7 linked regions of the Ovis aries genome follow. The protein of the gene in region 4 interacts with the protein of the main gene of each other region in a biochemical or structural test. Links are inferred from orthologs where the notes say so. Each region holds a gene or a part of one and is shown on either strand. Other genes may lie near its edges.

Region 1 (3,500 bases), about 540 kb from region 4:
CAGGTGTACAAATCAGAACTGCCAAGCTGTGCAGACTAGCAGCTTTGGGGTGGACTAATCTAAGAAGGCTTCCTGGAGGAGGCGAGACTCTGAATTCGCTCCCCTTGCCTGGCCACCAGGCTGCCACTCTCACTCATGCCCCTTCTCTCCTTACCAGGAATTTCCGCCTCTGCTTCCAATGGCTGCCCTGGGCGTTCGTGCTGCGATGGGCCTCCGTGGCAACATGGATCAGGTCCCACTCTTCAGGAGTGGGCTCTGGTCGCTGCTGCAGTGATCGGATCATCTCCTCCTTCCGTCGCCGCTCTCGGTTCTGCTCAATCAGCTTGCGCTTGGCCACCCGCTTCGAATCATCTAGAACCACTGTCAACAACAGACACAATGCCCTTTGCATGGCACACTCTGCCACCTGCTCAGAAACTACTCTTCCCAGTGTTCAGGTTGGAGAAACTGAGGGGAAGGGCCAAGAGAGGCTAAATGACTTCCCTAGTAATCGGGTGGCACAACCTGGCTCACGATCATCACTGGGACCACATCAACTCCAACCCAGAGGATACCATGTTCTGGTCTAAAGGTGACAATGGTTACTGGGAAACTGAGCCATCCAGTCCCCAGCTAACAAGAGGCCCTCTCTCACCCCACAGAGTACTGGAGTGCCTTCCCTGGCAGTCAGAGATACTGCGTTATGGTGCGGTACTCAGGACTTATTTCTACCCAACAACTCTCTGAAGACCCTTGACTGGCGAAAGGCAGGTAGGCACCAGGGCCCGTGCTCAGGGCCAATAGAGGAATCCTCTGTTTCCTTTTCTTCTGAGATGAGGGCCGCAGGGACTGCTGAATTCCCTGAAGATTCTGAATACTCATTCCATCACCAGCCTGACCCAGATGGTCACTCTGCCCTGTGGGTACCCTGGAAGGGAGCTGCCACATCTGAACACACCCCCCCTTCAGCTGCCTGGCCCGGTTCCCCCCACCCATCCCCTTACAGTCCATGGCCATGCCCACAGCGATGCACTTCTTGAAACGGCACAGCTGGCATTGATTGCGGGTGATCTTGTCAATGACACAGCAGCTGTCATATTTGCACGAGTAGGTGGGATGGAGGTTCTTCTGGATTGTGCGGCGAAAGAAGCCCTGGAGTGGGGGCGTGGAGGGGAGAGACAGAGCATGGTGTGATCATGATCTTCTCTTCCTGAACCAACCATGCAGCTCTCTGGCAGGGGGTGAGGGGCTAGGGGAATTAGTGAGGGGACCTGGCATCCTCTGGACAGAGCAACCCCAGCATCACCTGGGCTCTGCCAGGACTTAGAAACACACGTCTTCAGCCCCCAACTGCCTACGGGGTACCTGGGGAGTGGTGGTGGCAGAGGTAAGGATGGTGACCACGGAGAGGAGCTCTGAGCCTGGGAGGGTGTGAAATATGATGAGGCCTGAAGGAACAGCCACTGTGGACATCCAATTAATACCTGATTTTCCATCTTGCTAAACAACTCTAGAAACAACACTGGCCCCAAACCATTCTCATACACACTGCCTGTTGCCTATGCAGGTGGAATTCATGAAATGGTGGAGGGGCAGGGAGAATGTAAAAAAAAAATCAAGAAAAGGCATTGGGCATGGACTAGTATTAGCTTGAAAAGAAAACTTTCAATTTTATATACGGAGTTTAACCTTTGCTTTAAAGGAAAAAAAACCTCAAGACTCAAGATGGCAGTAATAATATGTAGGGCTAACGTCTGCTGCATACTTACAATGAGCCAGGAGCTTCTAAACCTTTTCTTTCATGTATCATCACCTTTAATGCTGGTGTCAACCCCATGAGGTAGGAACTGTTACTATCTCCATGTTGCTGACTAAGAAACTGAAGCTTGGAGAGATTGAGCCATTTGCCCAAAGTTATATGGCTAAACGGTCAGAACTGGACCTGAGGTATGAGACGCAAGGTTTGAGCTCTCAGATTCTGGGGTGCAATTAAAATCCACCGATCAAAAATACGGATTCCTGGGCCTCATTCTAAACCTATACCATCAGACTCTCTAGGAGTGGGAAGACATCTCTGTCCTTTTAGGATGACCCACTGGGACTCAGAGGGCCTTGAGGGTGTGACTCTCTGTTCTGTGCTACACTGCTGGTAATGCTTCCACGAATGCGGCTAGGGGACTCTCCATTCCTGGTGGTCTTGGCTTGACTGACAGCAAGAAAAGAGGATCTTGAAGCCTCAATGTATTCTTAATCTTTCTGTTTCTTGAAAGGTCTTATATTTTCAGGAGGTGATGACTCTAGACAAACCATGTAGGTTGAAATGCCCAAAGTGAGATCTAATTAAGTCTCCCCAAGTCTACGACCTTGTCCCCTCTGCCCAGGGAGACTCTGCCATCCTCTCCTCTGGGCTCCACCATGCCCCTCCCGAGCAAAGGTTCTCAACCTTTCACGGGCAGTGGAAGCAACTGGGGAGCCTGTTCCAAGGCAGATGCCTGGCAGCCACCACAGAATGTTCTGATTGAGCAGGGCTGGGACCTGCACTTAACAAGTACTATAGGCGGTCCAGGAACCACATTTAAAAAACACTGATATTGCTTTCAGCTGACGTCAGTCTTTCTCTGGTAGGCTGTGAGCAGCTTGAGGTCAAGGCAGGTACTATACATCTGACACTTAGTACACTGAGTGGATGGATGGAAGCAGACATTTGTTGAGTGCTTCTTTTCTGTTTGGCACGTGTTAAATACTCGATGTGCACTATCTCATTTAATTCCCCCAACAATGCTATGTGATAGGTATTATCATTATCCTAACCCATTTTATAGATGAAGAACCTGAGGCTCAGAGAGATGAGGCCTCTTGCCTAGGAGTGGCAGAGCAGTGACTATGAATGAACAAATGAATGAACAGGGGAAATGATGATGAAATAGGTGGGCTTTAGGTTACACGTTTATAGAGCTGTCTGTCGGGCCAGGTGCTGAGGGACTTAAGGGAACGAGTCGGGGGCTCAGGTGGTGGGGGAGGGGCAGGAGCTGGCTGGTCCATACCTTGCAGCCCTCGCAAGTGATGCAGCGATAGTGATAACCGGTTGCCTTGTCCCCACATACGACACACTGCTCGTCTTTGTCCAGGTAACTAGGGATATACCCTGGGAGGGAGGAAGGGAGGCAGGCAGGCAGGCATGGCTTGGGGCCCCAGCAGAGAGGCTTTGATACTCTCTCCATCCCCCCACTTTTCCTTCCTTGCCCAGCCTCCCTGAAGGGTTCTCTGTCTCCAGGCAGAGTCCTGGAGACATAACAGAGGTCATCTTGCTCATCCCCTTCCCTAAGAATATGGAGAATCCAGTTCTTCTGATTGCCCCTTCAGGGCTTTTCTCTCTTGCTGCATCCCAGGGGCAGGGGACACAGGAGAAGGAGAAGCAAATCTCGGCAGCAGCTCATCTCGGGGACCTCAGGCAAGGGCGTGATGGGAGAAGAGAAGGGAAGAGGCCCTTTCTGACCTACTCCATCCTCAGTGGCTGGGGC
Region 2 (4,288 bases), on a different chromosome or scaffold from region 4:
GTAAAATAAAAACTTTTCTGCAAAAGACGACTCTGGGAGCAGATGATTTCCAGCCTCCAGGCACAAGCGGACACACTGCCACATCTCATTTCTGTCATGTCCTGGCTGAACATCTCGTCGCCTCCGAGGGTGCCCAGGAGCACGGCCCCCTCCACTTGGTGAATTATTCCTGGAGATGAGGATAATTGTTAAGCTGCATTGGTGCCCTTTCTCCTCCAGCCTTGCCTCCTCCAACCACCGGGACAGCTGACCCTACAACTCAGGCGGAGACTGGGGGAAGGGCTCACACATCCTGGGCAGGATAGGCTGGGTGCTGCCAAGTAGCTCATCCTACACCCCAGGGTCAGGGGATGGTGCCCATTCTCCAGGTGAGAACATCAAGGCTCAGAAAGGACAGGACCTTCCCAGAGATCACACTGCTGCTAAGTAAAGGAGTCAGATTTATGGTCCAGGCATGCAGGCTGGTGCTGATCTGGCCAGTGCTGTCCTGTTGGCGTGTCTGCTGGAGCCTCTGATAAAGGACCCCCTGGTCCTTCTGAATCAGGGATGGGAGGTGGGTAGGGAGCTTAGAACCTTTGAGCTACCAACCCAGCACATATGCAAAACATCGCCCCAACTTTCTGGCCCACTTCAAACTCCAATGGGGAATGTAGACCCTTCTTAAAGATGCTCAGAGTTCCTGACCTGACTCATGGAGGGCGCAGGACCAGTTACCAGTGCTAAGCCCTCAGGTGCCTTATCACATGGGATCCTCTGGTTAGCCCTGGGAGGCAGGCACTATGATTTATTCTCATTTTACAGATGAGAAAATTGAGGCTCAGAGAGGAAAATGGCTTCATAAGTTTACACTGGTAGGAAGGATGGATGCCAGAATTGGAGCCCTGATCTTTCTGGCTCCAGAGCTAGAGCTGGCCTGTCTTTAGGACATCCCGTAAGGAGCTTAGCCCCTGCCTCGGGGACACACACTTCCTGGGAGCTGGAGGCACCCACTCTGAAGGGGTGATGGGACAGTCCAGGGCTAGACGGTGGTCGGTGTCTCGCACGCTGTCTCTGGGGTCACACACACCCCACCGAGTGCAGCAGCTTCCTGTTTACTGTGTCCTACATGTTTTCCCCTCAGCTCCCTCACGTGATCCCTGGACACTCCTGAAAGCCAGCAGGCCTGGAGTGACTAAGCCCATTCTGCAGAAGGAGCCAGGAGAGGGGAGGTGACATGCCCAAGGTCACACAGTGAGTGAATGGCAGGGGGAGGTGAGCAAATGGTGAGAGCGACCACGCATCACGCCCACTGACCACGGGCAGGGCAAATACCTCCCTCTGGCTGAGCTGAGCTGACTCAAGTGCTACAGAGCTTGGCTAAAGCTGCAGAACCATGGAAGGAAGGCAGGTGGGCTGCCCTCCTCCTCAGGCTGGCTTGTGACTGGTCAGGTCCCCGCATCCTGGCTTCCAAGCCTCCTCCCTTCCCCCACCTCCTTGTGGAGGAGATGTGCTCTCAGTGATAACGGGAGCGGATGTACAAACCTGGGGAGACACACAGGCAACGCAATCTGGTCTGAGACAAATGGACGTGTTGCTGATGTGACTCGCGTGTGTGAATGGCAACGGCATATCACATGAGCGCTGAAGAGAGCTGACCCCCCAGGACGGGGATGTGCACACGTACACAAGCAGGTACAAATAGGGGCACGAGACAGGATGCCCAAACTGGATATATGTCCAGGAAACCCAGGACGCACAAACCAATCCACGTCCAGAGCTCATACGTGCAAACGTCATGGACACACATACACACTCATCACTGCTTACCGTATACACACATTGCCGCTTACTGTACACACACTCATCGCCACTTATGGACATAAGCAAGATAAACACAGATATCCCTAGAGATAACAACAAACACGGACCCACTCAAAGAAGAAATGCAACTAGAAACAAATGCAGAACACGTGCACACACAGACCAGTGAACACAAACATGCAAATGGGTTCCTGCAGACATACATTTGCAACAAAGTCCACCGCTTGCCCACGTGTGTACATGGAAATTCAAGCACCCATGCCAATGGGAGGTTACAATCGCATACCAGTGAGCTTGTGCGTGTGCGCACACACACACACACACACACACACAATGCGCGTGCCCATGCGCACTGTTGATCCCCATCTCATTTAGCAAAACCTCCCTGAGAACTCCATTTTCTCTAAGTGGGGCGTTCACCCCAGGAAAGTCCCAAAGACACCCTGAAACACAGTCATGTCTCCATCCACCGTCTCTGGGGACGGGACATAACCTTTCCATCTCTCTGGACCTCGGCCCAAGGGGTTCAAGCAGAGGTCATGCTGGGCCCAATGGCTGGGGCTGGATGCCGAGAGGACGCTCACCATGAAGTCCCCGCTCCCAGTGACATGCTGCACAGCGACAGCTTTGGTCACAGGGACCACGAAGGCCTGGCAGGAACACCCAGGGCCTACTCTTGCTGCAGATGGCCCTGGCAGACCACCCCGCCCCCCGCCACCACCCCGAAGGCTTCTGGTCACTGTACCTGGGAACATTGACTTCACCTGGCAACACCTGTGCCCTCACTGACGGGACCACCACGCTCAGCTACCGCTGTCCCCCCAGCCCCAAACCCAGTGCGTCAGACTCGCTCCGGTACCTGGGTACACCTGCCCCCACCTGGCACACCTGGGCACACCTGCCCCCACCTACCATTGCCCATCGTCAACACCTGCACATTCTCAAACTCCAGGGTGGTGTAGGCTGGGTCCAGCGCAGCACTGTAGTCGGCCATGTCCATGTCGACAAGGGTTTTGGAGAGGCGCATCCTCCCTCTCCCCGCCTCGGCCGCCTGCCCTGCCCAGGATGCCCACCCCGAAGGCTCTGGGCTGAGCCCCGGCCTCTGCGCTCCGCCCTCCCACCGCCTCCTCCCAGCTGCCCTCTCTGCCTTCCTGCGTTTCAAACCGTCCTCTGGGAGGGTCTGCCGGGAGTCTGGGCCTAGCCTCTGCGCAGGGGTGGAGGCTCTGCTGGGGAGGGGTGGGGGTTAATGGTTAATCGGCTCCCCCCCCCCACCCCGGTGGACTGGCTGGGCGGGGCCCTGGGGATTTGGCTGTCTGTTGGTTTCTGGCTGACACCAGGGTGCTCTTACAACAGATGGGGGGCCCTAACACCCCAATAACGTGTTACCAGTCCTGTGAGACGACGGACACATGCTGTTTCTCCAGCACTCACTGGACCCTGACTCAGCCACCCTCTGAGTCACTGTCACCCCAAGTCATGCTGATACTGACATGCTCACACGCGCCCCCAGACACTGACAGCCCACCTCCAAGACGCCCTAACTCAGGAACTTCCCAAATCATTGACTTCAACCCTCTTATAGAGATAACGCCGTCTCATGGCTCATGAATCAGAAGCGTCGGTCTCAGGCCCCACATACCAGGTTTCTAGATCCTCGTTCTAGGAGGCCCCTTCCGGTTTCTTGCCTTCCCTAGGGGCAGGAAGGACTGAGAGGCCCAGACTCCTGTCTAGGTCCCCTCCCCTGCTCCCCAGGACCACACTCTGGCAACCACCAGCCCCCACAGTGCCCAGGTGCTCAGGCCCAGACAGATTCTATCACCCCTTTCCTTGTCACCTCCTCCAGCTCCCCCCCCTCCACCCCGTGCCTCCCCCACCCCCCAGGGAAGAAGGGAGGCTTATAGTCCCTTAGACCCGGATTAACATTCAGGCGCCTACCACCTACTAATCATGACTCTGGGTAAATGATTCTCCTCTCTGAGCCTCAGTTTCCTCTTCTAGAAAAATGCACAATCAACTTCAAAGGGTGGTCTGAGTATTAAATGAGTTGGCGTTAGGAAAACACCAAGCAGGTATCCATTTCCCTCCACCCCCACCCTCTTGGCCTCCCTTTCAAATCTCCCTTGTTTCTCTCCTCCCTCCAGAGCGGGGTTCGTGAGCGGGGTTCGCGGGCAAGCCACCCGAGCAGTGCACTCTGGGGCAAAGGAGCTCCCCTCTCACGCTCCTGTGTTTGCTTTCATGCTCGGCTATTCTGAGCAAGGGGCCTGCATTTTTGTTTGGGACTGGGCCCTGCTAATCTTGTGGCCTTCAATTCACGCCTAACGTTTTTCTTCTCATCCCCTCCAGCCCTCACTGCCCGCTACACAGACAGGGGCAAGAGCTCCCGATCTAGCTGGGCAGATAAGGTCTCGAGGTAGAGGTGGAAAGTGCAGGTCTGGGGAGAAGGACCTACGATTCTGGAGGCCTGGGAGCTTGTCCTCCTTTGTTGGCA
Region 3 (2,829 bases), about 750 kb from region 4:
GTCCGGTGAGGAGCACAGCTGCGGGCCCCATCGTGACCACCAGGGGGCGCCCCTGTCCAGGCCACAGGCAGAGTATCGTTGCTCCCCACGCCTCCCCACACACAGAGGCCCTAAGAGGCTCTCAAATGTGAGCAAAGAGGGGCAAATGTGAGCAAAGAGGGGCTGGGGACAAGGGTGTCCCAAAGCTCACCCTGAGAGCCCACACCCCTAAACACAGGCAGTGCCATCTTAAGTAGAGGTAGGTCTCCCACTCCTGCTGGTTATTCTGGACACCAGCCCAACATGGCAGCACTCATGTCAATAAAATAGTAACAGCAGCCAACATCTCCTGGGTCTTACTCTGGGCACACTGTGCCTTATTTATTACCTCCTAATCCTCCCATCAACTTTATGAAGTGGAGACCATTACTGCCCCCATTTTACAGAAATGGAGGCTCAGAGAAGTTCAGCGACCCTGCTGAAGGTCACATGTTGGCCAGGATTTGAACCTGGGTGGTCTGACCTCCAAGTCCTCACTCGTAAGCCCCCTGTAAGGAGCGCTGCCTGGAAATAGGGAACCAGAGCTCAGGTCTCCATCACTGTTCCCTTGCCCTGTGGCCACAGACCAGATCCTACTCCACTGGGACTCAGTTTCCTGTCTGACAGGTGCCTTTCTGATCAAATGATCCCCCAGCTTCTCCCTGGGAGAGGCTCCGCAAGCCACACCACCACCCCTGAGCCTGGCCCCCAGACCCAGGGCCCCTGCCCACCTCCACAGATGAGGCAGATGGCGCTGAGCAACCCAGTCTCAGCGTCATCCATCTCCAGGGGAAGCAGCTGGTTGGCGAAGGCGAAGACCAGGTCCGTGAGTGGGCCGAAGCCGGCGTTGTGCATCTGGGTCCGGTTCAGGGTCAGCCCGTCCGAGAAGGTCATCGTGTCCTGCTCGGGCGTGTACCGCGTGCAGATCCGCAGGATCTGGGTGCAGAGGGTTCTCGAGTTCAGGAACTCACATCCGCCAGCACTTCCGGCACCAGCATCCCCCCCAGGACCACCTGGCCGGCAGCCAGACCACTACGGTTCTACAGAACCTTCTGTGCAACACAGTAGCCACCAGTCACACTGGTGACCGCTGGGCACTTGAGACATGCTGAGTGCAACTGAGGAACTGAATTTAATTTTAATTAATTTCAATTTAAAACAGCCATACATGGCCAGCGGCTACTGTATTAGACAGTGCAAATCTACAGCATCCTGCCTCCACACAGAGAATTAAGAGGGAGACAAAACATTTCCAGGAAGGCCCAAACCAAAGGGGGTTTCGGTCTATGGTTCCCAGGGCTGGGTACAGAACAAGAGCTCAGTAAATGTACCTCATCTTCAGCTCTCTCAAACCCTGACCCTGCCTCTTGCATCTCCCTTCCACCAGGAGCAGCAGCCTGGTCACAGCCCAGGTTCCCGACCTTGGAGGTCGCCAAGAGGGAACAGGAGGGCTGAGGAAGACAGGGAGGACAAGCCTCCCTCCAGCCTTGGATTTGACAGTCTCATCCGCCCCCATCCTGCCTCAAGTCCAGCCTACCCTCTGGCCCCACCAAATGCCCTGCAGGCCCCTGAATCCCACTGGTCCCACACCAGCAGGCCTTCCACATACCGCTCTACACACCTCTAGAGGCTACCTCCTCTGGGGCTCTTCCCTAGGGCCCAGCAGTGCGGCTCTCTGTCCTGCAGGGAGGGGACAGCCCTCCCCTATCTGCAGCCAGCACTTATCACAGTTTTGCAACCTCTGTTTACCTATCTGTTGCCTCCACCAATGGAAGATTCTCAAGAGGGGACAGTGGTGTGTTCACCTCTGTTCTGAAACCCAGTTCAAGGCCTGGCCATACAGGGTCCCAGGTGAACCTTTATTAGACTGAATAGATGGGAAGATGGGTGGCTGGACGGAAGCACTGAATCAAAGATGGGCTGAGGATGGACGAATGAGAGTACAGGTGAATGGTGCACACCGGGTGCTGGGTGGCTAAGCAGACAGGTAGACATGCGGGAGAGAGCAAAGGTGGCTGTTTGGGTGGGTGGGCCTTTGGACAGGTTGACTCCAGACAGATTTTTAGGAAGGTGCTTATTTGAGCGGCAGGACATCCTCCAAGAACACAGGGGGCAGTGCCTAGGTGGGCAAGGTGCAGACCCTCACCAGGATGTCCAGGCAGGCAGCCTTGAGGAGGGTGATCTGGTCCGCAATGGTGAGGGTGGTGAAGCCGGGCAGTTGCTTGGCGAACTCCACAGTCTTAATGATGCACTTGGTGGAGAGTTCACTGAACTTGTCCCAGAGGTCAATGTCCAGGGAGACACGCTGTTCTGAGCTGTTGTTCTGGGCGGATGGGGGGGGCAGGGGGAGGAAAGTGAGGGCCTTCCCCTGGTGGCACCCTTCTGGGCCTGGCTCTACCTGCCCCGCCCCACAGGCCTGCCCTCTACTGGCCTTCACTTCCTGAGAGGCGGGGAAGGGGCAGACAAGGCAGCCCAAGCAGGGCTGCGGAGGGGCAGGCCTGGAAGAAGCAGGTGTGCCCCTGGGGGGCTGTACCGAAGTGTATTTGCCCAGCCTGGGGGAGGGGCAGGCCTGACAGCTGGAGGGCATGAGGTTGGCGGGGGGTGGGCCATACCGTAGTGTATTTGCCCAGTTGGCAGAGCGCAGGGAAGGTCTCCTGATGCGCTTTGCGCACCTTCTCGATGAGCTCCCCCACCTCCGGTGTCAACGTGTAGCTCTCAGAGCACTCAGGCTTGGGCACCTCCTTCTTCTTCTTGTTCCGGTCATTTCTCACGGCTGTGGAGGGCCCAGGCCGCACAGTGAGAGGGCAGGTG
Region 4 (3,445 bases):
CAAACCCTATGGTCTCTTTAGTAGGGTCCGGCTATGCCTTTCAAAATTCATCCCACTTGGTGTCAAAGCCATGCCATTTAAGATTCTTAAATACAAAATCAGACCTGTCTGACTCACTCCTTATGGTGATTTGCCTATACACTTAGTTCTTCTCTGGCCATATTTTTGCTTTAAATAGGTTCCTAGTTGCCAATCAGGGCCACATCCATAAGATCGTCATCTTCCTCCCCAATCATAAAGTCAGGGCTGAGCCTTGAGGGCCTGTCTGTAGATAAGATTGTGTTACTTGTCATAGACAAGGACTGGTCTGAAGAGATGGGTGATTTAGACCAACTCTCTGGCTTGATGCTATGAGACTTTTTCTTGTCTCGGTCTTTGTCCCGGTCCCTATCTTTGTCTTTTACTTTCTTCTTTTCTTTTTTGTGCTTCTTATGCTTCTCTGTGCTGTATTCTGGAAGAGGTCGGATGCCATCATCTGAGCTAGGACTGTTCTGATAAGATTTCTCTGCTATGGAGGAGCCTGACTCACTTTCACTGTCCAGATTCTGGGGGGTATATGCTGGTGACTTACTATGGCTGGGAGAGCCACGCTCATGCTTTGGAGTGGAACCACTGATGAGTGGAGAGCCATAGTTTTTGGAAGAGGCCATCTGAGGCCTAAGCCCTTCTCCACCACCTTCCCCAGGTTTCTGCAAAGTCACTTTGGCTTTAATGCTGGGGGATCCCCCATCATGCTTGCTGATGATAATTTTTGCCACACCCGTGCTCCCCACATTTTTAGACTCTGAGGTCTTCTTAGATGAATCCACTGAGCCCCCCGAGGTGGAAACCTTTGATTTGTCTTTATCACTTTTCTCACGCTTGCCCTGGAACTCTCCTCCAGACATGTTATGTTTGGAGGACACAGGATGGCTAGAATTTGTGCTCACCCCCATTTGGCCGTCCATTGGGTCTTCACCCCCAGGGCCACTGGTGACAACCCCATGCTTCAGTTTATCTATGACAGCTGTTAAAGACGGCTTCTTATTTCTGCTGGGAGATTTCCCTTTGGAACTCCCATGCTGGTTCTGAGAGGATGACATGGAAGAGCCACTTGAGGAAAAGGAAGAGGAAGATGCTGTACAAGAGTTAGATGATGGGGGAGTTTTCTGAGACAATGAGCCTGAGGATCCTAACCCTGAAGATGACTTCATGCCGGTGCTTGAACTAGTTCCAGACATGTGAGAACCACCAGAACCTGAACTGATAGGGGACTTGGCTTTAGAGGATGGGGGAGTCCCAGGAACAGGCTTCATTGGAGAGGCAAGCTTATCAGAGCCTCCAGGTGGCCTTGAATGGGAAGGGGATATGTTTGGTTTACTTAAAGAAGGATTCATAAGTGATGATGGCTTCCCTTGAGGTTTCATCTTGGTGCTGCTGGAGCCACTGCTCAGTCCATGCTTGGTAATAGGAGAGGAGCCTGGCTTTCCCCCAGACTGGGATGAATTTTTGGACTGGCTAGATCCAGAAGACCCTTGGCTAGAATATATACTGCTACTTAACTTAGAACTTGATGAACCTTCTGATTTACTGCTTTTCATCTTGCCTGAGTTGGAAGCAGAAGATAAGGAAGAATGGCTATGGTGGCTTTTACTTCCTGAGGAAGACACAGAACCACTGCTGGTATACTGACTGTGAGAAGAGGGCTTGCCCACCATCACAGTTCCCTTAGGAATCTGAATAGTAATTTTGGGAATGGGTGGTGTGGCCACACCTGGGGGAGTCTGAGATCGTCCTGAACTGCCTGGAGATTTGGATCCACCTGTACTAGTAGGTGGGGTGAAAGGTCGGTTAGAAGAACTGTGAGATGGAGACTTTCCCTCAGTGTCTGCCTTCTTCCGCTTTGGAGGCTTATCTTTGCTTTTGCCATCATTAGAAGGGGTTCGACTGCGCTTCCCTGGTTTGCTGTCTAATCCTGTCCCTGACAGACTACTATTACTGGCACCATTGCCTTCCTTTACTCTCTTTTGAGTCTTTTCTTTCCCTAAGTCCCCAGTGGTCAATAAAGGACTCTGGCTACCACTGTGATGCTCCATAAGATCTGTAGGACCCAAAGCCTTACCAGCCACTGCTATAATACTGAAATCAACCGTGTCAGCTTGGCTATTGCCTTTAAACTTAGTCTCCCCATTATCACCTCCAAGCATTGGCACCCCCAAAGTATTTAGTGCCTGAGATGCAAATCCTTTGAAATCATCATTATCTCCACTTTGGCTGCTTTCATCAAAATATTCTTCTCCAAAACCACTTTGGCTCTGGCTGTTCAACAAATCAGGATTGAAATCTACTCCATCAGGAAAAAAATGATTGGTAGGTGAGTCACTACTGGGGCTGCCAGCAGCATCTGCAATAAGGTCAGCTGGATCAGTGTATGGATTTTCATTATTATTGGCTTGAAAGACATCAGGGTCAAAGAGGGCACTCTGAGAATGCCCAGAGCTTGAAGAATCTCGAACAGGGGTGCCAATGGGTGGACAATCGTCACTAGTGCTGGGAAGCTTAGAAGCTTCTTCTGCAATGTCTGAAAGGATATCAGTTACATCTGGGCCAATGCTGTCTGAACTGGATAGTCGGACCATCCTTTGAATACTGGGTTGGGGGTGAGGTACTGGTTGCGGGTAAGTTGTTGGGGGAGTACTACACTGGCTTGGAGCTGGAGTGATGTGTGGCGTATCCAGCGTGTCAGCTGTCATGTTGACATCAAAGATAGGGTTTTGTGAGTCAACATCCATTGAAAATAGCTCCCTCTGAAAGTCATCTTCAGTCTGGTGCTTTGGTTTGTCAGGTGGTAATCTTGATGACTTCTTCTTCTTTGTCTTGTTGCTTCCCGAGCACATTTCCATCCGGGGTGAGCCGGAAGAGGAGTTCTGCCTTTCTAAAGGGCTGCTTCCATAAAGGGTTGAGAAATCCTGGGCAGGATTATCTTTAAGAAGGTTCATGAGCATCGGGTGGTTCTTGGTGTTGCCGGCCATCGAAGAGACAGGTGGCGGCGTGTGATGAGGAGGGGTCGGACTCGAGCCAATGGTAGACCCCCCGTTCCCTGTGATTTGCAACAAACTGGTAAGAATTGGGTTCTGAGATACCTTGCTGAAGTCCTCCCCATGGCCCACCGACTCATGCCGATCTTTGATGCTCATGCTCATATTAAACAAGGTGGTAATGGGACCCCCCGGAAAGGTGTTGGTTGGTGTAGTGGTACCACTCATTGGGTTGTTGCCTGTGGTCATGCCATACCCTGGGCTGCTAGCCGGGGGCAGGTTCTTTTTCACCATGTCTTCAACTGTCTCTGCAATGAGGGACAGTGCTGGGGTGTCGGCCTGAATGGTTTCAGCTTTCCTCCGAATAGCCCTCATCGTCACAGGAATCGACATACATCTGTAAAATAAGATGGAAAAAACAAAATGAA
Region 5 (4,288 bases), on a different chromosome or scaffold from region 4:
TTTATTCTGGCGGACATGTCTTTTTCCAATGATTATTCTGTGTTCAATGTTTTTGTAGCGATTTGAGACATCACCTTTATCATATGACAAATTTCCAAAAACTTTTGACTTTTAAATTTGCTGTTTGGGGATTTTCTATTCTGTTGCATAGCAGTGTGTTTCTCTCCAGTCAGGAAAGAAACTACACAATAAGTTCAACAGGAGAAGTCTACTATAAGAATTCCCAACTGTGATGGGAGATTAAGTGTAAGATGTAAGAAACTCTATAAAGCACCCAAGAGCCGAGGTAGAGTACCCAAGGAAGGACAAACCGGCGGGGTGGGGGTGTTCAGACCTCCTTGGAAAAGATAGTTTGGCCACTAAAATGTCCACTGGTTTTCCCAGACAAAAGTGGTCTGGAGTTGCAGGTGGGGAGCAGGCAGTCAGCATTTGGTGGTGTGGGCATGCCCTGGAAATCCAGTTGCCTGCCAGAGCGGAAGGCCTTCAGAGCATGCAGGTGCTGGTGATGAAGCTTGCACAAGGGACAAATTCTCTAACTCCTCAGGCCGTAGTCTGAATAGGTCATTGCAGAAAGGTTCTTGCCATGCCAGGGCTGCATGTTTGCAGTGGGATCTCGTTCTGGTCGCACAGGCTCCACTGGCTGTTCTCACCCACCATGTCAGCCTCTGCCCCTGCCAGAAATCACAGCGGCCTCTTCCTCCTGCAGTCCCTGCAGCGCCCTCTACTGAGAAAGCTTAGCACTGGGCTCAGTTTAAATGCTTAAAGGAATTCTATTTCCATAGAACATACACTACATATATTGAAGAGTGCATTAGAAGGTGAGAGGCAATAAATTGATCCTTGACAGGTGCATTGGCCTATGTATTCCTTTTTTTTATCATTGGCTATTCATGATATATTTGAAGATCTGTTAATGCTAGTCATGCTTACTGATCTACCCTTTGAGGTAGGTTTTTAAAATTTTTCTGTAAGAATTTAAAAATGAATTTATCTACTTCTAGGGGGAAAAAAACTGGTTGGCATTTTTACTTAATCGTATATTTTTTAAGTTTGTTTGTTTTTTCTCCAGAGATTGAACCCAGGCCACAGCACTGAGAGCCCAAAGTCATAACCACTAGGCTAGCAGGGAACTCCCTGTGTTTTTTAATTTTTAAAAGTATTTTATATTAAATTCTCATGGTAGAAAATTCTTATAGTTAACAACAAAAGCTTTATGGAAGTGAATGAAGGGAGAGAATGAATTCCATGCCTTTTATTCCTACCCCTCTGAGGTTGTGTGTATATTTTTCAGGATGTATTTCTGGGTCCATATAAGTGTGTGTGTGTAATAAAAATGTGTCAACCTTTTTCACAGTATGCTTGTACCTGTAACTTAGAAATGTCTTTTCTTTTTTCTTTACAGCCATACCTGTCCATGACTCTGAGAACATTATAATGTTCTTTTGTGCTTCTCACAAGGGGTTTTCCTAGCTGTTACCTACTCAAGACATGGATGTCAAAAACTCACCATCTAGCCTTAACTCTCCTGTCTCCTATAACTGCGGTCAATCCATTCTACCCCTGGAGCCAGGCCCCATATATTTACCCTCTTCCTATGTAGAGAGCCGCCATGAATACTCAGCCGTGACATTCTATAGCCCTGCTGTGATGAATTACAGTATTCCCAATAACTCAGAAGATGGGCCTGGTCGACAGACCACAAGCCCAAATGTATTGTGGCCAACTCCTGGACACCTCTCTCCTTTAGCCATCCATTGCCAGTCGTCACTTCTGTATGCAGAACCTCAAAAGAGTCCTTGGTGTGAAACCAGATCATTAGAACACACCTTCCCTGTGAACAGGTAAATCCAGTCTTCATTCTGAATTATATTATGGCCGATATTCAGATTGCTTTATGACTTAGTGAGAAGAAAGATATGTGTTATACAAGGTCTTCATTATCACATAGAGCACCTAGAACATCTGATGTTCTGAATTCTAGGATATCTATTCTGATATTCTAGTCCTTACTAAAAAGTTGAGCTTTTAGATCTGTGTTGTGGGGGAGAATTCACTTCATGACTATCTTTGGAAAATATTTAATTTAAATCACTTTCTTCTTGATGAAGTGATTTGAGTTTGAAAAAGGAATTTTTATTTTCAAGTTAGAGCCTTCCTATCTTGAAGTGAAATCACAACTTAGTGTTCATGACAAATTATGTCCAAGATAAAAGTAACCATTGGTATTACAACTCGATGAAATGCTAGACAGGTGAAAAGACAAACAGTGGTACAAATTTTTAAACAGTGAACTAAATAACATTTTATAAAGATTGACAGGAAACTAATGTGGACTTTAGTTGAACATTCTGAAACTCTAAGTGCAAGGTAACATCAGGGATTATTTGCATTCAATTTGTTATACGTACACACACGTATATATTTTGTGCTATGTGGCTGTGGGATCTTACTTCCCCAACCAGGGATTGAACTCGGATAGTTTTAATGATAATCATGGCTACAGAGGGCAGAGTTAGTATAGGCAGAAGCATGAGGGGGCATAACTTTACACAAGAACCCAAGTACTAAGTTATGGCATATTTGGTATTGAAGTTTATTACTTTCAAATTCATAAAACTTTGAGAAAGCCATATTACACACTAATTTTATTTTTCTTCTTTTTTAAAGAACTTTTTGATTGGTAAAAGAGAATATGAAAAATGTAGATGACTTTTTAAAAGTAATGTCTTCACATTCAACTTTTAAAGGAAGAAATATCTTATTTCTGAGGACAAGTTCTAATCAGAGCTCTGCTAATATTTGGGTACATTAAACCTCAGCATATTAAATTTATACATCAATCATACCTCTGCCATGTCCTTTCCAAAGGAAACATGCTGTAGCAAAATTAGGAACTAGCCCGGTGTGTTCTTGGTGTCTGCCGGTGGCCCACTGTGGGTTCCCCCTTCCTCTGTGGTAAGCCTCTCCACCCTGCATTGAACACCTGCTTTCTTCAGAGCCTTCTCAAGGGACAGGCATGTGTTTATGCTCTCCCCCTCTCCTCTTCTCTTCTCCTTCGCTTTCCCCTTTTCGCTACTGCTCCCACCCAGACTTGATGTAGTCACTGATTACAGAGATGTACACATTGATGGCTATAGCTAGTTCTCCATGGTAATCGGTGTTCATCCACACTGTGTGGATGGGTGTAAACTCACCTATCCACTTTCAGACACCAGCGATCCCAACAGAGCGACTCTTAATAGATCTGATATCAGTAACAAAGGTTTTGCTTGATCAGATCTCTTGGAATATATTTGTTATGAAGCCTGGAGGGCAAAGAGATACACGAGGCAATGTTCATGCTGTTCCTTTTTCTAGAAAGGCCTTGTTTTACCGTCAATGTTCTTTTACAGTGAATGTTCTCTTTGCCCCTAGGGAGACATTGAAAAGGAAAGCTAGTGGGAGCAGTTGTGCCAGCCCTGTTTCTAGTCCGAGTTCAAAGAGGGATGCCCACTTCTGTGCTGTCTGCAGCGATTATGCGTCGGGATATCACTATGGAGTCTGGTCATGTGAAGGATGTAAGGCCTTTTTTAAAAGAAGCATTCAAGGTACAAGAATGTTGTTAGCTGCTTTTTTTGTTTTCCACTTTGCTTTTAAACAATGTTGCGGATGACCTGGCAGAAATTTTACCTTTGTTTGGCCTGCTTGGTACACAGAGTACTTGGTGACTGTTTCAGAGGATCATGTGTCTTTGGGGGTGGGGGGATTGTTTCAAGTATAGAGTACTTTATCTTTCACTCAGATCTCTACCCCCAAACCCAAATGGATCTTGCACCACCATCACCTGTTGCCGTCTTCCTAGGAGGAAACATAACCTTTGTGAAGGCTGGAAAAAATGTGTGCCCATTAGGAACTGTGAAGATTGTTTCTTCCTTTGACTTATGTTTAATATCTAGCATATGTAACAGTTGAGATGGTGGGCTGGCTCCTGAGGAAGAGAGAATATGTTTTATGCAGTCAGTAGCTCAACTAGTGGAACCTCCTTTACATTCCTATTTTCTGGTCTGAGTTTAGACTGTTTCCCTTTCCTTCTCCAAATTTCTGCTAGGCTGGCTTTTTGTTTCTGTGATTTTGTTAAATCATCTCTTTAATCAATTTCAAATTGTACGCACCTGGTTTCAAGGCCAGTCAGCCCCTTGCCACACGTTTCCTTGCCAGGCCTAATTGCTGCAGGCACTTTCTTGCTTTCCTGTGCTCTTAGCTGTCTCTCTACCCCCATAACTCCTCCCTTGTCAGCCCTCCTTCCAGG
Region 6 (3,500 bases), on a different chromosome or scaffold from region 4:
TTTAATTTTAATTAGATCCCATTTGTTTATTTTTGCTTTTATTTCCAGAATTCTGGGAGGTGGATCATAGAGGATCCTGCTGTGATTTATGTCGGAGAGTGTTTTGCCTATGTTCTCCTCTAGGAGTTTTATAGTTTCTGGTCTTACATTTAGATCTTTAATCCATTTTGAGTTTATTTTCGTGTGCAGGGTTAGAAAGTGATCTAGTTTCATTCTTTTACAAGTGGTTGACCAGTTTTCCCAGCACCACTTGTTAAAGAGATTGTCTTTACTCTGTTGTATATTCTTGCCTCCTTTACCACATTACATTTAAATTCCAATATTTACTTATCATGGATCTGCCTCACAAAGGAATATTAAGGTAGAGAAGTGCTCATTAAAACTCCTAATTCCAAATATGGCTGGGAGTCTTTATTTGCCAGTTGGACTGACTCAAAATCTAAATATGCCTGTGAATCCCCATGTTTCCATGTAACCCAACCTCTGCCACCTAAATAGATGCCTTCTATCCAGTTTGGATCACAAAATTGCTGGCTCCTTATTCAAAAGACGACATGCTTACATGTTAATAAATGCAAATCTAAGGCCAGATATATATTCACTTGGCCTATAATCTCTGAAATGTAACTACAAAACTCCTTATTTATTTAGTTTAATAAAAAACAAAATGCATGCTTCATAGATAATAAGTTCATCTACTAAAAGAAATCAGTCCATCCTAAAGAAGATCAGTCCTGGGTATTCACTGGAAGGACTGATGTTGAGGCTGAAACTCCAATATTTTGGCCACCTCATGCGAAGAGTTGACTCACTGGAAAAGACCCTGATGCTGGGAGGGATTGGGGGCAGGAGGAGAAGGGGACGACAGAGGATGAGATGGCTGGATGGCATCACCGACCCGATGACATGAGTTTGAGTGAACTCCAGGAGTTGGTGATGGACAGGGAGGCTTGGCGTGCTGCGATTCATGGGGTCGCAAAGAGTCGGACACAACTGAGCGACTGAACTGAACTGAACTGAACTGAACTAAAAGAAAACTCACAAGATAGTCACTATCTAAATTCATTACTTGTTTGATCTATAAGCACAGAAAAGAAGATTTAACTTCCTCTTGCCTTGATTCATCTATGTTAGCTCCTGAATGGATATGATGGGGTATGGAGGAGGTCATTTTCTAGTCTTGTTTCCATAATAACTAGAGTTCTTCCCCCTGAACAATAGAGCAACAGTCATGTTTTATAAAAACACCAGTTCTGAGAATATCAGCTGAAGAATCAAGTATAACTTTAGCCACTGTTATCTCTCCACAAGCTCCCCTCAGAGATGAGAACCTAGTTGATTTTTCTATTGCATTACCTTGTTTCTAAACTGTTAATAGATGGCTCAATGAATATTTGGCACTCAGTAAAAAAAAAAAAAAACTTATTATTTCTTTAGCTCATAAATACCTGAAAATAAAATCTTGTACAGTAAAATTGATGACTCACAATTTAGGTGTTTTGAACAAAAGTCCTCAACATTAAAAATTTATAGGACATGGATCATTTCGTGTTAAAAATTTCTGCCACAGTGAACATATAATATTAAATGCATTTATTATCTAGTGTTCACCCCAGATTTGGGGGGGGGGTGAATATTGATGGGTTAAAAAAATAATGTCAGATTAAAGACTTTAATCATCTAGATTTTTATTTCAAAACACTATTTCCTAATTTCCAGGAGAATTAAGACTGTATAGATACTGAAAATTAATCAGTTCTGATATGACTTTAAAATCAACTAGATAACAAGCTATTGTGTCCCACTATCTCTCCCATGATACGTATGGCAACCTGTTCATGAATAGTTAATGGCTGCTCAAAATAAAAGTCAAGCTTAGTCTTCTTACCTGGCACCCTCTTTGCCCAGTTGATCATGTGTACCAGCTCCCTGTCTGCAAGGCCGGTCAGCAAGCCCATCATTGAAGCCTCACTGAAAGGTCTGGTAGGGTCATACTCAGAATAGATTATGGGGGGCTCAGCCTCCAGCAAGGCACTGATCATCTGGTCAGCCGTCAGGGACAACACCGGGCTGTTCTTCTTAGTGTGTTTAATCATGATCGGGCTTGGCCAAAGGTTGGTAGCTCTCATGTCTCCGGAGGGCACCGCTTCGTTCCTGCCCTCCCCATCATCTCTCTGGCGCTTGTGCTTCAACATTCTCCCTCCTCTTCGGTCTTTCCGTATCCCTGAGAACACACACACAAAAATAGCTTATTCTTTTGCTCATATAAACTTTCACATGAAAACCATTTTTAATGCTAACAGCCCTTTATTTTATTTTAGGAAATAGTTTGGGACACAGTTGTGCTTCTAAGTGTTTAACAACCAGCTGTCCACGAGAGGGGAAAAAAAGGCTTTGATTTGTAGCATTCACCAATTTCCATGGTGTAATGACTCCCACCATGGCAAATTTCAAGCTTCCTGTCTGAGATCAAGCAGTGTACAAAACTCCTACAAATTTAACAATAGGCTTTTGTGAGCCAGTGCAAGTTGCTCTTACATACTGTTGCAGGATGTGTGTGTGTGTGTGTGTGTGTGTGTATGTGTAACAGATGCTATAAAAAAGACAACATATTAATTAGCTACTCTTGAAATATGCCATATCAAAGATTGCTCCTGCTATGAATATTCTTTCAATAGCAAATTTAAAAAGCATCTTTAGAAAGTATTTAATAAGTGTCCTTATTACCCAAGTAGACCTCTTAATGGGAGACACTAAAAAGGAATCATTTATCCAAAATGTATCTGACAGTCTCTAGCCTCCACAGATGTTGAGTCAATCTATTATTACTACTAAGCTGTACCTCATCACCTGAGTAATCGACTCAAGGGCCTCAACTTGTTGACTAGGTTCTAAGATGTCACAAATGTCTTTCTATTTTCCTAATATTAAAGTTTTAAAAGAGTTGAAAATAGTCTTCCCTCAAAGATTTACCAGCTGTGGTTCCCCCTAACTAATTAAAGGAGCAGAGAGACTCCAGCTTTTTTGGCAGAGATTCTTTGAGGCTTGGTTCAGCATCTTAACCTAGAAAACACCAGGCTGTAGTACCAAAATGCATCAGCAGAAACAAATATTTTAAAGGAAAAAAATGAACACAAGGGGCCATATTTTCAAAAACTCTTAATCTCTCCAAAATAGAACAGAAAGCAACAACTCTTAGATTTGTATAAAAGAAATAATTATTTTGGTAAAAATCTAATTATTTTTAATATTAAAGACATGAGAAGGAAAATTCTTTGTAACAGATCACCTGTCCTCTGATTCCAAAACAAATGAATAACTGATGTCAGAATTTTGCTCTGTTTTGTTCTATCAAGGAGTTTGGACAAATGTTCACTGGTGGGTTTTTATGCATAGCTTTTATTCTTGTAGATCTAGATTAGATATGTTACATGATATTAAAAATATAATGATGCCACAGACCCTTCCTTATTTGTTCAGTATCAAAATAAGCATTTCTC
Region 7 (3,500 bases), on a different chromosome or scaffold from region 4:
TGCAGGAGTGACTGGCTGGCAATAGTCTCTAATTCTTGACCATAGGTCAATAGAACCAACCAACCCCCATAATCACACTTTGATTTGATTATGAGTCTTAGACTTGCTGAAATGATCACAACTCACTTCTAGAGCAATTTAGTTTGATTAAGAAGTCAATCAAACACTAAATGGTCAAAGGGGCTTATATCCCAGGGGTTAGAATATAGTCAGTGGCTCAACCCTAAGGTAATGCTTTTTCCTTGAGAACTGCTCTTGCAGGGCTGAGAGAGCTTCTGGAGAGCAAGGGCTTGTGCTATCTTTGTGTTCTCAAGGATGCGGTACCCAACGCAGAGAAGGACCTCCTTCTGACAGAGGCCTTCCTACCCAGGATGAGGATTCTGCAGACAGATACAACTGACAATGGAATTCTCAAACAGCTATTTGAAATAGACTAAAGAAGAAGATTATCAAATAGTATATGGATGAAGCAAAGGAGGAGAAGTATGTGGAGGGGAGAGAGGAGGAGAAATTATATGCAGACAGTCTATTCTTGTTCTTTGTGGTAGTTACATTCATAAAGCCATCATGAATGCCGAATCAGCAAATATTGAATCATCGCTCCTAGGAGAATTTGGATTAGGTTCCTGTGAGCCTCCGGTCACAATGCTTTCATCAGTCCATCAGTAAATAACTTTGTTTCATGTGAGGCATCTATTTAAACGCACCTTATTTAACACATGTTGTTGACTCATTAACATTGAACTCATAGCCAACAGCTAAAAAGCCTGTGTCTAAACAAAGCTTGTCTAACATGTCTTTTCTCTGTAAGGCGCCTTTCAGCTTTCACATGCTTAGGAGAACCTGAAAGAATTTCAGCACCATGCTTGGGTGCCACCTTACACAGTGAAATCACTATCAAATGGTACAAAGGTGCAAAAAGGATGGCACTAAATATACCAAGAACAGGACACTTGTTCATAGTGTGAGAATTGAAACAGAAGGCAGAATGTCTGGCTCAGCCTTGGCTGGGAACGTGTACAATGAGAGACAGAATTTTTCTCCACTCTGCACGTGTCCAGAAACACCAGAGCTGCAAGTATTGATCTGGGGATGACAAGTAAAGCTTACCAGGTCGTCAGATTTGCAGATGTGGACTCCACAAACAATGAGGATCAACTGTGCATATTTATAAAACAGAATTCAAGCCAAACAATGGGAGAGATGTTGGCTCTTCAAAAAGTGCAGCCTGGGCTGTCATCAAGGCAGAGGCAGTAAAGTTATAAGGTAGATGGAGGACAGGGAAGCAAGATAAAAGCAGCTTGCTGACCATAACACCAGACCTTGCAGGAGGGAGTAGTGGCCGTCAGTCAGCTCAGACTCAAAGGGGCCTCGGCACGGTGGCTCAAGGCAATCAAACTCCAGGCCTGCCAGTTTCTGCCGCAGAGGGCAGGTGAGTTAGGATTCTAACTCTGATTCACGCTGCCCTCAGTGCCAGTTCAGGGAAATGGATTCCTTGTTCTGGACTTGATTCGCTCTTTCCTCTCTTTGATGGAAAGCCCTGCCATTAGCTTTACTCACCCTCAGCAAGACTATTACATAGAAGCTCATTTTTGGCTGCCTTCTTCCAGGCTCCATTCTGTTTCTCTCTCCAAAATATGCAAAATGCTAACTTCTCCTGGTTTTGAATCCCACCCTGCCATTCCTCACTTCTCTCTCCTCCCTCCCTGGCTCCAGATGGGAATAGCCTTTGTCCAGCTTTTCCAGGACTTTCCCATACAGTCTGCACTGGTAATGCTGGGCCTACATGAAAAGAGAAGAGGCTGCTCGCAGAAAAACTAGCCCTGACCAAACCAGAATGCGTGTGCTTTCCTGCACACTCTGAGGTTAGCTTTCCAACTTTGATAAGCAAGTCGTGGTGCACAGATCAAGTATGGAGGTCCAACTAGGGATGTCATTTCCCTTGTTCCAGGGGATGGTTTGGTTTGGATGGTGGCAGGAGGGGAGAGGGTGGGGGTGCGTGCTCTGAGGCCAAGTTCTTGGGCTTCCTGGAGGCCATGCCAGTCTCCTGGACTAGGAAGCTCTGATCATCAATGGTAGGAGGTTCACTCTGGAAGGACATGGGTGGGTGCAGGGGGCTGTATGTCAAGGGGTGATGGACGGATGGGGGTTCACATGAACTGCTTCCACCCAGGAAGCAGTTGGGCCAGAGGACAAGCTGGAGCTGAGGGCAGAGGAGGAAGAAACAGACCCTGTTGGCCCGGGTGGCTGTGAGAACGGGAGTGTTTCTGGGCCTGGTGAGGAAGGAGACACAGAACACGCAGGGTCTCTTTGCGGGAAACTCTGTTCCTCACCCGCTACTCCTCGCTCTTGCAGGGCACTCACCTGAAGAAGCCTTTGCAACCTTCGCAGGTCATAGCGTTGAAATGGAAGCCGGTGGCTCGGTCCCCGCACACCCCGCAGATCCGGGGCACGTTCCGGTCAAAGTCGCCGGGGTCAGGTAAGGAAGTGCTGGCCGCAGTCGCCTCCATGGCTGCAAGAACAGCAGGCGGGGATGAGGCCGCTGGCAGCCCTTCTGCCAGGAGCTCAGCAAAGTCGAGCTGTCCCCAGGGCCCAGGCCTCAGTGGGATCCTTGGCGCCCTCGCTTTGTGGTTCCGGGTGCCACCAGCTCACCCTCCTGAGGCTGCCGGCCACAAGCAGAAGCGGGTCTCCCCAGACAGGCTGGAGCACGTCTGCAGGGGGCGCTGTGGCGATGCTCATGGCGTGGCCTGGCGTCAAAGCCCGGAGAACCAGAGGCTGGTGCCTACGGGCTGGACTCCTTTGGGTGAGGGCTCCTGCCTCTCTGCGTCCCACTGTCCTCATCTGAAGAGTGTGTTTACTTCACTGGGTGTGAGGAAGGTTCTTGTGAATGATACCCACATCACTGGCCTCAGCTGCACCTCAGCAGTGGACCTGCTGCAGGTCAGAGGCCTCTTTGCCCAGGGTCCCCTCCAAAAGGGAAGGGGGCCTCCAACAGCCTTGTACACAGAGGGACACCTTCAGCCCCTCTATCCTTCAGGGTGAGGGGAAGAGGACAGGTTACCTGCCCATAGCAGACCCTGTCATGCCAGCTCCAAGCAGCCCCACAGCTCAGGACGGACAGCCTGGTGTCCTTGCTGTCCTGGTATCCAGGTTATCAAAGCTTTCCCCCTCCCCCTTCTCCCTTCAATGTAAATTCAACGCATTGTTCTGAACATCCTTCTGAGTAATGTGAGTCGTATAGGAATTAATTTTGTTTTCAGAGGCTGCTTTTATAAATAGGCATTATCATCTAGAGATAGATTTCACACTTGAAGAAGGAGGGAAAAGAGACAGAGAGGACAAAATATAATAGCTCTGGGAGAGTCTTCTCAGGAAGCAGCTGACGAGCCTTCCCTTGGGCAAGTCAGGACCTCAGCTTCACCTGCCGCCTGCAATCCTGCCGGCTACTAGCTCAGGGCTATGTCTGGGGTCCCTCCTGACTGGTGAAAGGTTTCAGATGG

Evidence for each region.
Region 1: the proteins of MED1 (region 4) and THRA form a complex in vitro, tested with the Homo sapiens proteins (6 studies listed by BioGRID, with this or other methods). The link is inferred for Ovis aries from reciprocal best matches to the Homo sapiens genes MED1 and THRA.
Region 2: the proteins of MED1 (region 4) and HNF4A form a complex in vitro, tested with the Homo sapiens proteins (2 studies listed by BioGRID). The link is inferred for Ovis aries from reciprocal best matches to the Homo sapiens genes MED1 and HNF4A.
Region 3: the proteins of MED1 (region 4) and RARA are reported together in a solved structure, tested with the Homo sapiens proteins (2 studies listed by BioGRID, with this or other methods). The link is inferred for Ovis aries from reciprocal best matches to the Homo sapiens genes MED1 and RARA.
Region 5: the proteins of MED1 (region 4) and ESR2 form a complex in vitro, tested with the Homo sapiens proteins (2 studies listed by BioGRID). The link is inferred for Ovis aries from reciprocal best matches to the Homo sapiens genes MED1 and ESR2.
Region 6: the proteins of MED1 (region 4) and ESR1 form a complex in vitro, tested with the Homo sapiens proteins (6 studies listed by BioGRID). The link is inferred for Ovis aries from reciprocal best matches to the Homo sapiens genes MED1 and ESR1.
Region 7: the proteins of MED1 (region 4) and VDR form a complex in vitro, tested with the Homo sapiens proteins (5 studies listed by BioGRID). The link is inferred for Ovis aries from reciprocal best matches to the Homo sapiens genes MED1 and VDR.

What each region holds. Positions count from the first base shown.
Region 1 is NC_056064.1:40,132,230-40,135,729, reverse strand, and holds part of THRA (thyroid hormone receptor alpha), read right to left. Parts: intron 3,125-3,500; coding exon 3,024-3,124; intron 1,132-3,023; coding exon 984-1,131; intron 361-983; coding exon 155-360; intron 1-154.
Region 2 is NC_056066.1:72,778,024-72,782,311, reverse strand, and holds the start of HNF4A (hepatocyte nuclear factor 4-alpha), read right to left. Parts: upstream 2,801-4,288; coding exon 2,713-2,800; intron 1-2,712. UniProt on the Homo sapiens protein: Transcriptional regulator which controls the expression of hepatic genes during the transition of endodermal cells to hepatic progenitor cells, facilitating the recruitment of RNA pol II to the promoters of target genes. Activates the transcription of CYP2C38.
Region 3 is NC_056064.1:40,341,174-40,344,002, reverse strand, and holds part of RARA (retinoic acid receptor alpha), read right to left. Parts: intron 2,792-2,829; coding exon 2,631-2,791; intron 2,342-2,630; coding exon 2,165-2,341; intron 955-2,164; coding exon 750-954; intron 1-749. UniProt on the Homo sapiens protein: Receptor for retinoic acid. Retinoic acid receptors bind as heterodimers to their target response elements in response to their ligands, all-trans or 9-cis retinoic acid, and regulate gene expression in various biological processes.
Region 4 is NC_056064.1:39,589,409-39,592,853, forward strand, and holds part of MED1 (mediator of RNA polymerase II transcription subunit 1), read right to left. Parts: intron 3,415-3,445; coding exon 183-3,414; 3' UTR 1-182. UniProt on the Homo sapiens protein: Component of the Mediator complex, a coactivator involved in the regulated transcription of nearly all RNA polymerase II-dependent genes.
Region 5 is NC_056060.1:74,529,710-74,533,997, reverse strand, and holds the start of ESR2 (estrogen receptor beta), read left to right. Parts: upstream 1-1,488; coding exon 1,489-1,841; intron 1,842-3,414; coding exon 3,415-3,587; intron 3,588-4,288.
Region 6 is NC_056061.1:76,733,430-76,736,929, reverse strand, and holds part of ESR1 (estrogen receptor), read right to left. Parts: intron 2,225-3,500; coding exon 1,889-2,224; intron 1-1,888.
Region 7 is NC_056056.1:138,709,084-138,712,583, reverse strand, and holds part of VDR (vitamin D3 receptor), read right to left. Parts: intron 2,513-3,500; 5' UTR 2,511-2,512; coding exon 2,365-2,510; intron 1-2,364.